2 linked regions of the Cricetulus griseus genome follow. The protein of the gene in region 1 binds, or shares a complex with, the protein of each later gene. Links are inferred from orthologs where the notes say so. Each region holds a gene or a part of one and is shown on either strand. Other genes may lie near its edges.

The links.
Region 2: the proteins of Agt (region 1) and Dpp3 are in contact, whole or in part, in a crystal structure (PDB 5E2Q), measured with the Homo sapiens proteins. The link is inferred for Cricetulus griseus from reciprocal best matches to the Homo sapiens genes AGT and DPP3. Residues at the interface, in NP_001369746.2 of Homo sapiens: Asp25, Arg26, Val27, Tyr28, Ile29, His30, Pro31, Phe32; in NP_005691.2 of Homo sapiens: Phe109, Glu316, Tyr318, Glu329, Phe381, Gly385, Ile386, Pro387, Ala388, Gly389, Ile390, Asn391, Ile392, Asn394, Arg399, Val412, Leu413, Val415, Ala416, Phe443, Val447, His450, His455, Glu507, Glu508, Asn545, Arg548, Leu552, Glu555, Phe556.

Annotation. Positions count from the first base shown.
Region 1 is NC_048596.1:201,289,685-201,297,322, forward strand, and holds the start of Agt (angiotensinogen), read right to left. Parts: upstream 4,769-7,638; 5' UTR 4,744-4,768; coding exon 4,732-4,743; intron 1-4,731. UniProt on the Homo sapiens protein: Essential component of the renin-angiotensin system (RAS), a potent regulator of blood pressure, body fluid and electrolyte homeostasis.
Region 2 is NC_048596.1:54,358,328-54,365,401, reverse strand, and holds part of Dpp3 (dipeptidyl peptidase 3), read right to left. Parts: intron 3,724-7,074; coding exon 3,634-3,723; intron 3,141-3,633; coding exon 3,003-3,140; intron 2,316-3,002; coding exon 2,241-2,315; intron 1,135-2,240; coding exon 1,041-1,134; intron 1-1,040. UniProt on the Homo sapiens protein: Cleaves and degrades bioactive peptides, including angiotensin, Leu-enkephalin and Met-enkephalin. Also cleaves Arg-Arg-beta-naphthylamide (in vitro).

The DNA of each region.
Region 1 (7,638 bases):
ACCTTTAGTTGCTCTGGTGTTCCCAGTGGCTGTGTGTAATATACACTCTATGGGTAAACAGCCATGTGCTGTTTTAGCTCACTGGGCTGCTGGCCCTGGGAGTAGGGCTGCCTCACTCCCTTCCCAGGTCTGATTGTGTTTGTCTCACTTACTTCTGCTAGGTGTTTTGAAAACATGAGCTAATGATGTTTTGCCATCTATCTGCTGCCTCTATCTACCACTTGCTATTCATTTTTACTTTGTTTGCTATACACTTAATACCTCACTCAAAACCAAAAGCATGGCTGTCATAGATGGCCCAGAAGGAATGTAGTCAAAGATCCATGGAAAACTCAGGATGATCCACGTGGAAAACATGCTGTCATACACTGAATTGCTCCCCAGATTTACAAATTATCATTTCCACCACCAGGGCCCTGGAAAGTGACTATTTGAGGATGGAATCCAGGGCCTCTTTCATGTTAGGTAAGTGCTATACTATCGAATTCCATCCCCAGACATTTTACTTAAAAAAACAAAAAACAAACAAACAAACAAACAAAAACAGGGTTTCATGTAGCTCCAGCTGGTCTTGAACTCACTATGTATAGATTAGGATGACTTTGAAGTTCTGATCCTCCTGCCTCCACCTCCGAGTGCTTGCATTATAGCACATCCCACCACTCCTAGTTTACAAGCGGGCAGGGGTCCACCCTAGCTCTTGTGCGTGCTAGGAAAGCATTCTACCAAATGAGCTACATCTCTAGCCCTCTTTTGGCCTTTCTTAAGCTGTCCTGGCTAACCTTGAAATCACTCAATATTCTAGGCAGCCTTGAACTTCTGCTCCTCCTGCTTTGGCCTCCCTAGTAGCTGGGATTACAGGCCTGCTCCACCCCACTCATCAGAATGTGACTGTATTTAGACATAGGGCCTTTAAAGACAGGACTAAGATAAAATGAGGCCCTTACAGTAGGGCCTGATGTAAACTGACTGATGTTCTTACACAAAGAAGGCATCTAGGGACAGGGTTATAGATCAGTTGGTGAAGTACTTCTATTGCAAGCATGAGGGGTTAAGTTGAATCCCCCAGGTGAGTTGGCATATGCATGAAATCCCAGCACTCAGGCAGTGAGACAGGTAGATTCCTGGGGTTTGGTGGAGAGAGGTGGCTCCCTGGGTTTCTCTGGCTAATCAGTCTAGCCTAATAAGTGAGCTCTAAGCCAACGAGAGACTGTGTCTCAAAGGAGGTAGACACCATTCTGAGATGACACTCAAGGTTGTCATACAACCTCTATACACATGTGAACACACTTGCACATACTTGTGTGTACACACACACACACACACACACACACACACACACACACACACAGGGACATCAGGATACAGGAACACAGGTAACTATCAGAGTCACAGGTAGAGGAGTGAACCTGAAAGCGAATGGCAGAGGCCTTAAGACACAGCTCTGACCATGGCTTGGCCTTGGGCTTCTTTTTGTTATCATACTAGGCTGTGGCACAGAACTAGACATGCAGGTGACAATGGCTATGAATTCATCCCTGGAGAACTACATGTGGAGCCCTCATACCCACATGGGTATACCCTACGATTGTTTTTAGTGTCTGTGAGGTCCTAGCATGTGGACAGAATTAGGTGCCAAAGCCTTGCCCAAGCTCAGGTCTTTCACACCTGTCATATGCTACAGGCAGGCTGGATCCCACAGTGACTACAGAAAATCCACAATTGGCCTGCCTACCCAAGGTTGGCTTCAGTAGTCTACAGTAAGTCAGGAATTGATTTGTCAACTGCCCAGATGGCTATGAGGCACCAACAGTGCTTGGGGCCCTGCCCAGCCATGGACCAGGGGGGCGTGGAGGCACCCAGTGAGCTGGATGCCCATTTCCCTTGAACCTCAGCCCTGCTCCAGCCTCAGCTATCATAGATAGTACATACAGTCAGCCTGGGCTCCCAGAGGAAGGTTCTTGAGCTGACTGTGAAAACCCTACATCTTAGTCCTCTGATCCTGGGGGGTGGGGTAAATTCTATCCATCATTCAGTTCTGACCATGTAGACCACATGGGCTTGTTTCTATAGAAACAACCATCCTGCCATGTGACTTCCAACTTCGTACCTCATTTGTCCATGGCCACCGCTGCTAGGCGGTGCCTCAGCCCTGACTGGAGGTCACCTTGAAGCCTTCATTTCCCCTGCTTCACCTTCACACATACAATCTTCCACCTTCCATCTTCCATGGTGCTTGACAAACCACCCCCAAGGTCCCTATGTGAAAATCTTAAGGCACACCATTGTTCTGTTGAAGGTGCTGTAGACATTAGGGTGTCGGGCCTGTTGGGAGGGCCTGAGGTCAGTGGGGTGCACCATTAAGAGGGGTTGCAGGACCTTTGTATTTGTTTTTCCCTCTTTAGTGGTTTTTCTTCCTAGCTACATGGGGAGCAGCTTGCTTGGCCAAATGTTCCTGCCATTGCTACCTGATACCCCCAGCAGGTCCAGAGCAATGGGTCTGTCTGAAGCTGCCCTGTAACTCCAGCACCATAAGCCAAAATAAACTTTTCCCTTTATAAGTTAATGATCTCAGAATGCCATTATGATGTTGCAAAGCTACGAGGTCACCCTAGCCTTCCACACTTAGGTCATGGCACCTGCCTGGGCTGCACATAAAAATCTTCCACATACAGGCAAGGTGCTCTTTGCTCTGCTCGGGTTATCCCGCTGGTCAGATGACCTTTGGCTTCTGACCCTCCAGCACCTCCTCCTCCTGGTGCACACATCTGGCTCCACCCACCATTCTCAAAGGAAGTCTTGTGGTTTGAAAAAGCAGAGTGGAAAACTCTGCCTGTGCCCATTGGACCCTCCTACACAGAAGAGCGACTGTGCCCACCTGTGCTATCATAAACCAAGGCACAGTAGGGGCAGAACCTGCCTTAGGCTCCCAAGTTGTAGGATGGCCCATGTGGGTACACGAAGTCCCTCCCATATTGCTATTCCTGTGAATGGGTGCTGTCTTGGGAGCTATGTCATGGTCGCTGTCCCAGGAAGCACGCCACTGCTGTTCTTAGGTGAATCTGGTTATTTGCTCTCAGCTGTAACCTGCTGCCATCCAAGTTCATCCTAAGTCAGTTTGCATCAAGTCCTGAGAACAGAGGAGTTCTAGACCCCTCCTGTTCCCTCCCAATCAGCCACTTCTCTGTGTCCCTGTCCTGTGGCTTCTCAGGGCTATGTTGCCTGTCCTGTCATGGACAGGTTGTGTTTTCAGTGCTCTTATGTCATCAGCTCATCTTCATCATTCAACGCCTGCCCCAGGCTCCCTAGGCACCTCTGTCACCTCCTCCTTCCCTAAAGCCACCAGAAGCACCCTGTCTCCTGCAGCTGTGTATTTATTATGTGCCCCACTGGTCTGCCTTCCACATGAACCTGAGTGCGGCAAGTCCACAGGTTAGCCCACCTTCCTAAGGTCAATGGGAGAGGCAGATCCTCAGTAGGGAGCTGTCAGCTAAAGTTACTAATGCTATTTTATAGAGGAACAGACAAGTCTGGTGACCTGCACCAGGACACAGCCACAACTTAGACATGACCCTTGATTCCATGAGTGACATTTAGGTACAGTGCACATTGCCGCTTAAAAGAAATAAGGAAATGGCAAGGCTAGGAAGATGTTCAGCAACTGAGAGCAGTTTGTTGCACAAATGGGAAGATCTGAGTTCAAGTCCCCTGAACCCTTGTAAAAAGCCAGTCATGACCACATACAGCTGTGATTCCAGGGTTGCAGAGGGTGGAGACAGGGTGATCTCTGGGGTGCCAGCCTATCCCCAACCTCAGTGGGGGACCCTATCTCAAGGGAATAAGGAGGAGAGTAACAGTCAGGACACCCAATGTCTTCCTCTGGTCTCCATCTGGGATCATGGGCTGCTGAACCCATCTCTCCCTCCCAGCACATATGCACTCTCTCACATATACACAGACAGACAGACACCACACATGCAGACATGCACTCACATGCCACATACACATAAATACACACATACATTGGGCTGGGTGTGGCAATGCACTCAGGAAGCAGAGGCAGACAGAACTCTGTGAGTTCAAATAAAGGAGCTAACTTTCTGCTTAGCCTGACATTATCAGTAATTTCTACGTTACTGAGCCCTTCTAACATACCCAGACTTAGAGAACCTTAGAGCCATGATGAGACCTGTTTACAGAGGGGCAAGTTGAGGCTCCGAAGCCAGAAGACACAGACCCCAGCACTGAGCCTGGACAGAGATACTACTTGAGATGACCTGGGACTTGTCCCTTCTTGCTGCTTGCAGACTGAACAATGAAATCTTGTTCTCCCTTCAAGCTGGAATAGGTCCCGTGGACTTGGCCACCCTAGTGCTGATCCAGTGTAAATCCTCCTGCCTCTGAGGACCCTGCTGGGCTCACAGGAGGCAGAAGACCTGGCTATCCTGCCTGACTGAAGACAAGCTATTCCCCATGAGCCCAGAATGAGTGACAAGCAACAGAGGACAGCCTACCTAGATACCTAGCCTTTCAGGAGAAGAGACATGGTCAGTGGTCATGTCTCCTGAAGCACCTGCCACCACAGACTTCTGGCTCCTCACTCCAGAACGATTGCCAGCCAGCCCTTTACAGCGTCTGCCCACGTCCTGCCTCCTCTTCCCACCCATAGCTCAGCTACTGCCCAGCAGGACCCCATGAAGCACCAGAAAAGAACTGAAAGGCTCTACTTACCTTTAACTCCATCCCAGACAAGCACAGCTATTCCCTGGTGAGCTGCACAGGCTTATTTATACTGGAGGGGTGGGAGGTGGATCTATTCCCAAGCTACTCTGTACAGAGGCTGGGGGAGGATCCAGGTCGGGAGGCCATGGGAATCCAAGCTTAGCCAAGATGGACCAAGGCCAGGGCGATGTTCCTTTGGGCCCCTTCCAGGAAGCCCTGGTGACAGATGAGCACCAGCAAAATGGATTGGCGCTGAGTTCAGTTACACATTTACCCCAGTTCCTTGGAGTCAGGGCCATAGTCACAGGACTAGCTGTGTTGTGACAAACTGAAGCCAGCCATACAGGCTTGGGATTCAAGCCTCTCATGATGCACTTGTAAGCCTCTCAGGACCTGCCAGGAAGGGGCCCTCCTGCAGGGGAATGAGCCTCACGTCACCAGAGGCTCTTAGGATGTACAACCTTGAACAGCTGTAATTGCGTTAGTTGCCTGTTCTGCACAAGGGCTTCTAATGGGCTGTGGATACATACCATCAATAGGAAGTGCCTTCTGGAACCTTCTAGCACATCTGGGGAGGCTGGGAAATTCCAACTGTGGTGCAGCCATATTGAAACAAAATGTTCTGGGCTTCTAGACAGGAGCTGTCTGTTTTTGGGGGGTGGAGTTTTTGGAGTGTTACTCTTGGCGAGTGTAGAGAACGGATGGGAAGACAGGGTTTCAGAGGATGAGGTTAGTGGGATACCAAGAAAGAGTGAGAGTGTGGGGACAGATGAGGACACAACAAGCCCAGAGGGAGAAGGCCTACCAGAGGGGTCCCCCATACAGTCCACCATAGATGGCGGCAAGCTTGCATTGTCACAACAACCCAGAACCTCAAGCTATCTCTTGGCCATAGAGTAGACACAGGCAGAACCTACCTCCACCCAGACAAGGCATGGGAAAGAAAAGGCAGAAAGAGGGGGTGTTGGCAGAGCAGTCCCTGGCTCAGAAGGAAACAGATGCATGATACAGGGCATGATGGGATCTGAGCTGGGGGCTGGAGAGTGACTTTCACTGGATATGGAAGTAAAGTGGCTACAAGAAGGTATAAGTTGGAGGCCAACTGCAGGAGGGCATCAAGGCTGCAGCCGTGAATGCCTACACTCTGAGGACTGAAGAAGTCAGTGCTAGAAGCCCAGGGGGATGTGCAGGGAGTAAGAGCTCAGGAAAGGCCAGCTGTGGGCAGATTTTCCTGAGGAGTGTATGAATGCCTTAGTAGCTTTGGAGCTTAGCAGGGAGACCTGGGCTGGGGACACAAGAGTAGAGTTCCTGAAGATAGGGATAGAAAGGTCTTTCTTCTTAGTTCCTGACCCTAGAAGACTGGATCTTCAGACATTGAACATCTTTTTGTAGTTGGACACCTCAAGATCACTTCAGGATAGGACGAGTGACTGGAGAGTCTGGCCATATAATCAAAAGGAATGTCCAGCCTCAGTCCCCTGCAAAGAGAGAAGGGCTGAGATGGAGTTGACAAGTGATGACAAGGATGTCATCAATCCTATATGCAGAGGCCCCTATGCCCTGGGGTCTGGAGAACTTCCAAGCTGAAGAATGCATATGAGGATATGTTTCCCAATGTGATGAAGTCCTGTGCCACAACTGTCCTGCCTCTTGCCCTTAGTAGCCCCTCATCTGGCTGTTTCTGTGGGTCGCATAATAAACCAGCCAACAGAGGCAAAGTGAGTCGCTGGAGCATTTCTGGCTAATTGTGAAACGTGAGGAAGCAGGGACAAGCCTGTTGTGGAGGCACACTGTACTGAGAGTGGGTAGCCCTTGCTACTAAGGTTTTCTGAGCATGAGCCACCTTTCTGACAGTCATCTCTGGCTTTTCATTGCCTCCATCCCAGCTGGAGCAACTGCCCCTATGGTGGCAACTTAGGCAACAGAACTCCTGGGCCAGGCTTGCTGTGTAGACTCTTTCTAGTTGCTCTGAGGGGTTACTGAGTAGCCTGCAGTCCTCATGGTCCCTTGTTCCTGTACTCTTTAGGACGGAGGGTGAGAGGGTGCAGAACCCCCTCTGTCTGTATCCTAGGACATTCGTACTGGTTTCACCCAGCTTCCCTCACCACATAAGCATGTGCCAGCTCACACCAAGTGTCCCTCCCATCCCTCCACAGTGTGTTCCCAGACCTCTTTATGACCAGGAATTTCTCTAAGCCTTACATCCAGGGGTAGTGTTATCCCTTGGCTTGTGTTCCTCAATACTCACTCATGGAATGAAATCACATGTGCTCCACACCATGCCTGACAGGTACTGCAGTTCTCCTAGCTCCAGGGTCTCACTATGGTTTACAAAGCCCATGAAACCACAGGCCCGCTCTCAGAGCACACACAGGCACACACATATTCCTGCTCTCGACTGCTGGAGCTTCCTGCATTCCAAGTTCAGGGCATGTACAGTTGAGAGACTTGCACCAGGAGGGAATCAAATGCGTATTTTTGTCTTCGAGAAAAGCTGTGCATGTATGTGTGTGCATGTATGTAGTTTGTACCCACAGGCATGTATGTATGATTGTTGCATGCGTGCACTTCTGTGATTTCATGTCTGTGTGGCTTGTACATACCTTTCATTGGGTGTCACATGTAGACAGAGGTTTCTTGTCCCATCTCCCTGCTCCCAAATAACTGCCTCGGAGACAATATAAATTATAAATGCTCGGCTGATAGCTCAGGCTTGGTACTAGCTAACTCTTACACTTAAATTAACCTCTTTTTCTTTATCTATGCTTTGCCACGTGGCTTGGTACCTTTTCACAGTATGGCGTGCCCATCTTGCTCTCTCTGCATCTGCTGGCGACACTCTCACTCTGCCCTTCTTCATCCCAGTATCCTCAGTTTTATTGTCCTGCCAAACTTTACCCTGCCTTACTATAGGAC
Region 2 (7,074 bases), about 150 Mb from region 1:
TCATCGTGGTCCCCTTCTGTTTCCCAGATCTGTGTCTCTTTCCTTTCTTTCTGAAGATTTGTTTTTATTTTGTGTATACGTATGAATGTGTGCATGTATGTATGTATAGCGCATTCATGCCTGGTACCTAGGAAAGCCAGAAGACAGTGTTGGGTGCTTTGAAACTGGAGTTACCATTGGCCTGACGTAGGTGCTAGGAACCTAACACAGCTCCTCGAGAGGAGCAGTGAGAGCTCTGAGCTGCTGAGCCATCTCTCTACCTGATGTGTCTTTTTTTGTGTGTGAAAGACTTCATGCTGCCCCTAAGCTTTTCCATCACCCTGTGGTGGCCTCATACTTTCCCTCTATCTGGAATGCATATGGTATGTCCATTCGTTATACACCCCCACGCTCAGTGACACACTGAGTACCTGAGTACTATAAAGCACTGGACACTGGGAAAGACAATGACAATTCTACTAGAGGACTTGTCATCAAGACACAGAAGACCAACTAGGGAACTAGTGAGAGTGCTGGGAAAGGTCCCTAAAAAGGTGCCATCCACATCCAGCCATGGGATGAAGACGAGATGGCTGGGTAAATATGGGCTAGGCTAGAAGCTGTTCTGAGCAGGAATTGGGCAAGGAACTGTATGACAACTTAGTGACGAGATGCAGGACTCAGGAGAACATGGCTAGAGCAGAGTGCTGGAGGCTGGGGACTGGCTGGGGATGTGGATGGGTAAAAAACAGGGGCCTAAATATATTCACTCTCCTTGCCTTGTAACAGGTCCCCACTGTTGCCATTCCCTGTCTGAGTGACTGAGGAGATACTGATCTCGCTCTGGGGTGGGATTGAGACCAGGCAGAGCCTGGTGCCTTGTCCACTCACAAGTATTGGTTCACATTAATAAAGGACTCCACAAAGTCCAGAGCCACTCTTTTGTTGTATGAAGAAACAACTGGTACCAAAGGACTCTTTCTGCTGGAGGAGGTGGGCTGTTGCCCTGAGCCACCTGGGTCATTAGGTGGCTGACATCATCCATTAGGGCCTGAGCGCACCTGTGTTGAGCACTGAAGCCAGTCGCACCTCATAGTGGGACTTTCCTTCCTGGTCGACCACCTTGAAGAGCCGTGTGTTGTATGCACTGAGATTCTGGAAAAGACCAGAGCAGGGTTTGAGGGACGAGTGGAGGAGTGGCCATCCCATGGACAGCAGTGAGGCAAAGTAGGCTGGGGTTTCTCTTAGGAACCTTTCCAAGCCTACCAGGAGTCATTCCAGGCCAGCCTGGGATGACTGTCTTGCTGTGCTCCACACACTAAATGCTAACTTTAAAAAAATAAATTTAATTAAAAAATAGATACATATGTGCATAGTCACATACATACATACAGTAGTGCATGCCTTCAATTCCAACACTCAGGAGGCAGAAGCTGGCAGATATCTGTGTTCAAGGCCAGCCTGGTCTACAGAGTGACACCTTGTCTCAAAAAACTAAACTAAACTGAAATAATATGCTGGGGCCAAAAGTTACAAGTGCTTACTGCACTGCTTTTGCAGAGGACCCAGGTTTGGTTCCCAGCACCTACACAGTGGCTCACAACCATCTCTAACTCCAGTCCCAGGATAGCCAAGGGCTCCTGAATAAAGGTGGCGCATATTACATACACTCAGTCGCGCGCGCGTGCACACACACACACACACACACACCAATTTTTAATTAAAAAAAAAAAAATGGTCCACACATGTGCCACAGTGCTTGCATGAAGGTCTCAGAATAATTTCAGGAATTAGTTCTCTCCTTCCACCATGTAGATCCCAGAGGATCAAACTCACGTCATTGGGCTTATTGGCAAGCACCTTCACCCCCTGAGGCATTCACCAGCCCCATGAGTGATAACTTTCACTAAGCACCAGCTTAGCCGTGTGAGACATGGAGCCACCTCAGCCAACTCTCAGCTGTGTGAGACGGACATGGGAAACAGCCACACAGCTGGTAAGTGGCTGGGCAGCCAGGCTCCGGGGGCCCCATCTTGGAAGTGTGGAAATGGCTCCTGGGACACATGTAACATCTTTGTCTTCCTGACTGGCAGAGGCTTACCTCACACACAAGATCCCTTAAGTATTTTCCCACTTCAAGGATCCAAAGTGCCCATATGTCTTTTGAGTTCAAGCTGGGACCCAAGAACAGGTGCCCATGGTGAAGGGGCAGGGACAAGGAGCCACAACAAACTAGTATCCCAAATTGCCAATTCCCAAACCTGAGAGTCCAGAAAGTCCTGGGCCAGCTTAGCATCTTCCATGGTACAATTCCCAGAGAAATAGGTGGTAACTCCCTGTTGGGAAGAGACGGTAAGATAGGAGGTGGGTGGGGAGACAAGAGGGCAGAGTTACTGAAGGCTCAGCTGGGACCCTACACATCAGCTGATGGCTTCCTTGCCAGGATCTCTGCATCTCCTCCTAGCGCCTCTCCCATCTATTTCCAGGGGGAGGAGTTGTAAAACAGATTATCATCTTAGACATTTTTTAATGTGTTTTCCTGTGAGACGGGGTCTCACTATGCAGCCCACACTGGCCCTCTCACTCACAACCATCTTGACTCAACCTCCTGAGGGCTGGGATTACAGGTGTGTGCCACCATGCCTTTCCTCCAGCTGGGCTCCCACCCATCCTCTCTAGCTGGCTCACCCCTAGGCCTTGCCACAGCCTCTTCCCATGCAACCTAAGCAATCCCTAGAGGCAGGGACCCTAGCCCCCTACATCATTCCCTCCCAGTTCTTTCTCGCCCCCCCCCGCTTCATGTATCTACACCCTGGCTTGACAGACCTGGAAGAACATTCTGGAAACATTCCATCCAGTTCTCTTCCCATTTTACAGATGACAAGTAGGCCTGTGGTGCCAAATGGCTTTAGCTAGAGAGTAGAGGAAGAGTCCCCTGCCTCCCATCGGCTGCCTTTCCATTTTTACCAAGCAGCCTCAAAGATGCCCTCCACTCTACTGAGCTCTTGGATGGCAGGACTCACCTCCTTCCCCAGTCCAAGGTGTCGAAGCCTTGGCTCCAGGGAGAACATAAGCTCCCCACAGGTTTGCCAGAGATCCCTAACTTCTTCTGGCTGCTGCTGGGCAGCCTTACTCCCCAGGATCACACGTTCCAACTTTTCCTGCAAGGAAAAAGGAAGTCATTGGCCTGGTCACAGGTCCTTCAAACCTTCAGAACCTCCCTCTACTTGAACCTAAGACCTCATAGCATATCCCAGGAACAACAGCATCACCAAGCCCTGAGAAGAGCTGAGCCTCAGGCTACCACAGACCTTCTCCATCAGACACTGCATTCAATATTACCAGGCCACTTCTACAGGCATTAACATCTGAGGAACCCTAGGGCTCCACCTATTCCCAGTGATGACCAGTGGCCATCTAACAGTTCACATTTACACAACCTGTCCTTGTTTGACTCTCAGATCAACAGTCTGAAACACTTTTCCTTTACGTGTGTGTGTCTGCCATGCATGAGGATGCTGAGTGACACTATAGTCATAGTGTCCCATTGACAGGGTTATGGCTTGACTCTGCACCTTTGACTCCAACCAGGGTCCCTTCTTCATACTCCAACCACAGCCCACCACTGCCTACTTGTCACCCTCCCCAACTCACCTTGGGCAGGTTAGGAACAAACTTGGTGTCACCAAAGGACTTATAGTTGCCCATGTTGGAGTAGACCCCGGCAGCATAGACCAGGAATGCCTAGGGAGTGGAGGCAACATAGCATCAAACACCTGAGAAGCACAGCTCCCTTTTGCTTTCAGGAAAATGTCAAGTCAGAACACCAGGGCATACCAGTATGGAAGAGGCTGGGAAATCTCAGGGTAGAGCCCTGATCCTAGGAGGCCCCAGTCTGACCCACTCCACCATGTAGACAAATTAGTTTCAGGGCTACCAAACACACCTAGGGTGCCCACCGTTCCAAGGGTAGGCACACAAGCTGGCTAGGCTAGTCAGAGAATCACCTCCTCTTACTATAGACTGAACGAAACAGTCAAGCTGGCCAACATCACCAGACCTAGATGTTCTATTACTGGAATGATTAGAGAACACTAAGAGATGAAGATCCCATCTCAAGATAGACTGAACAACTGAATCCAGCTGCACCTGAAGCTTCTTCTAGCCCTGGACCTTGAAATTATGTGAGCTAACAATTCTCTTGCTTTTCGTTTATTTATTTGTTTGTTTATTTTGGAGACAGGGTGTCATTGGGTAGCCCTGGCTGTTCTGGAATTCACAGAAATCCGCCTGCCTCTGCCCCCTAAATGCTGGGATCACAGGTGTATGCCACCATACTAGGCTCATAATTCTAAGCTCATAATTCATTCTCTCTCCCTCTTTTTCAATACAGGGTTTCTCTGTACAACACTGGCTGCCCTGGAATTCACTCTGTAGACCAGGCTGGGCTCAAACTAAGAGATCTACCTGCCTCTGCTTCCCAAGTGCTGGAATTAAAGGCATGCGCCAATACTACCCCGCTAGAATGCTTTCTTTAAGCCACTTTGTACTGAGTTTCTGCTACTTTGGAACAAAAGAATCCCACTGAAAATAGTTGACACTTGGGTAGTACTTCCCATTTACAGGCATTTCCACAGAGATTAACTCTTCCCAAAGTTCAAAGGCGGTGAAGAAACAATAAGCTTGGCTCAGAAAAAAAACAATCTGATCCTTTTCCTTATAGAAAACCAGGTCCCAGCCTCATACACTCCTGGTGGGAACATAACATGTTGAAGCATTTTTTCAAAGACATTTTATTTGAAGAAAGGGTCTCACTATCTAGCCCTGGCTGGTCTACAATTCAATATGTAGATCAGGAACTCACGGAGATCCTCCTACCTCGGACTCCTGAGTGTTAAGATTAAAGGTGACCATGGCCACTACACGAACACCGCCACACATGGTCTTACAAGATAATTTAACAGTATCAGAGCATTATAAATGTACAGAACCTTCAACCTAAAAGCTAGATTTTCTACAAATAGTTTCTACTTAACCCACTTGTACAAGGATGAGCATTGTAAGAAGAAGGAGAAACCATCTAAAACGTCCAGCATTTTTTAAAAAAAAGGACTCATCTGATTACAGTGTACACTGCTGTAGAGTGCTTCACAGCCAATAAAGGGAAATGAATTAATATACACTCTATGGAAGTTCTCCAGGACACAGAGACCTGCAAAAAGGGCAGTATGCAGGACACCGAGAACATGATGTAAAAGGTAAAATGGGGCTGGGGGTTGGTTCAGTACATCACTTGCTGTACAAGCATGAGGACCTGCGTTTAAATACCCAGCACCCACAAAAAAACAGTCATGCATGGCCATGCAGGCATGTGAACTCAGCACTGGAAGGTGGGCGTGTACACAGGCTACCCTGGGAGCTTTATAGTCAGTCAGCCTAGACAGAACAACAAGCTTCGGACTCAACATGAGACCCTCTCTGTGGGCTGGAGAGATGACTCAGTAATTAAGAGTTCTCCCAGAGGACACAAGTTTGGTTCCCAATACCCACGTCAGGTGGATCCCATGCCTCTTGCTTCTGTGAGCACTTATAACTCATAGCAGACACACACACACACACACACACACACACATATGCACACAATAAAACTAAATAACTCTTTGTAAAAGAGGGAGATCCTGCCTGGATGTTGGTGGTGCATGCCTTTAATCCCAGTACTTGGAAGGCAGAGGCAGGCGGATCTCTGTGAATTCGAGACCAGCCTGGTCTGCAAGAGCTAGTTCCAGGACAGCCTCCAAAGCCACAGAGAAACCCTGTCTCAAAAACCAAAAAAAAAAAAAAAAAAACCAAAGATACACAGAGAAACCCTGTCTCAGAAAAACCAGAAAGAGAGACAGAGAGAGATCCTGTTTCAAGGGAGTAACTTCTCTTCTACTATCTACATGTTCAATACTTGCACGTGTGCACACAATGACACACGTGCTGTCATTTTACATTTTAAAAAGTAAGCTAAAGCCGGGTGGTGGTGACACATGCTTTAATCCCAGAACTCGGGATCTCTATGAGTTCGAGACCAACCTGGTCTACAAGACCTAGTTCTAGGTCAGCCTCCAAAGCCACAGAGAAACCCTGTCTCGAAAAACAAAAAAAAAAAAAAAAAAGAAAAGAAAGAAAAAGTAAGTTAAGCTGGGCGTTGGTGGCACATGCCTTTAATCCCAGCACTCGGAAGGCAGAGGCAAGTGGATCTCTGTGAGTTCAAGGCCAGCCTGGTCTCCAGAGCAAGTTCCAGGACAGCCTCCAAAACAATACAGAGAAACCTTGTCTCGAAAAACAAAACAAAAAATTAAGTTAAAAAAATATACTGTGCACATACAAGTATCAGTATCCAATGCACTAGCCATAGTAGCTACCTCTGGAGAGACAATGAGCATGTGTAATTTTTTGTGTTTTGTATGTTTCTGAACTGCTGCATTACACTAAGAAGTAGTGTGTTATTTGATTAATACATCCACAGACAAGAGCTAGGGCACAAACAGATCAAACTACCTAGGTTCCTCACAATGCAGAAGAGTAACTCAAACCTCCTAATTTCCACCCAGGCCACCTTTCTGACCTTCAATATCAGCTGCTAATTCCTTTGTACAATCACTGCAGATTGCTGAGAACTCTGGAACCTAGGCTGGCCTCAAACTCACAACAATCGTTCCACCTCAGCCTCTAGAATTAATGTGTGTGCCACCATGCTTGTCTTGTCTCCCTGCATCTTTTTTGTTTGTTTGTTTGTTTTTTGTTTTTCGAGACAGGGTTTCCCTGTGGCTTTGGAGGTTGTCCTGAAACTAGCTCTTGTAGACCAGGTTGGTCTCAAACTCACAGAGATCCACCTGCCTCTGCCTCCCAAGTGCTGGGATTAAAGGCATGCGCCACCAACTCCCGGCAGGTCTCCCTGCATCTTGAAGCAGGCACTAAGTAGGTCACCACAATACTAAGGGCAGACCACATTCATACTCTACAGATGACAAGCCTGAGGCTACAGATAGGTATATGTATGTGCATTCATGAGAGAGAGAGAGAGAGAGAGAGAGAGAGAGAGAGAGA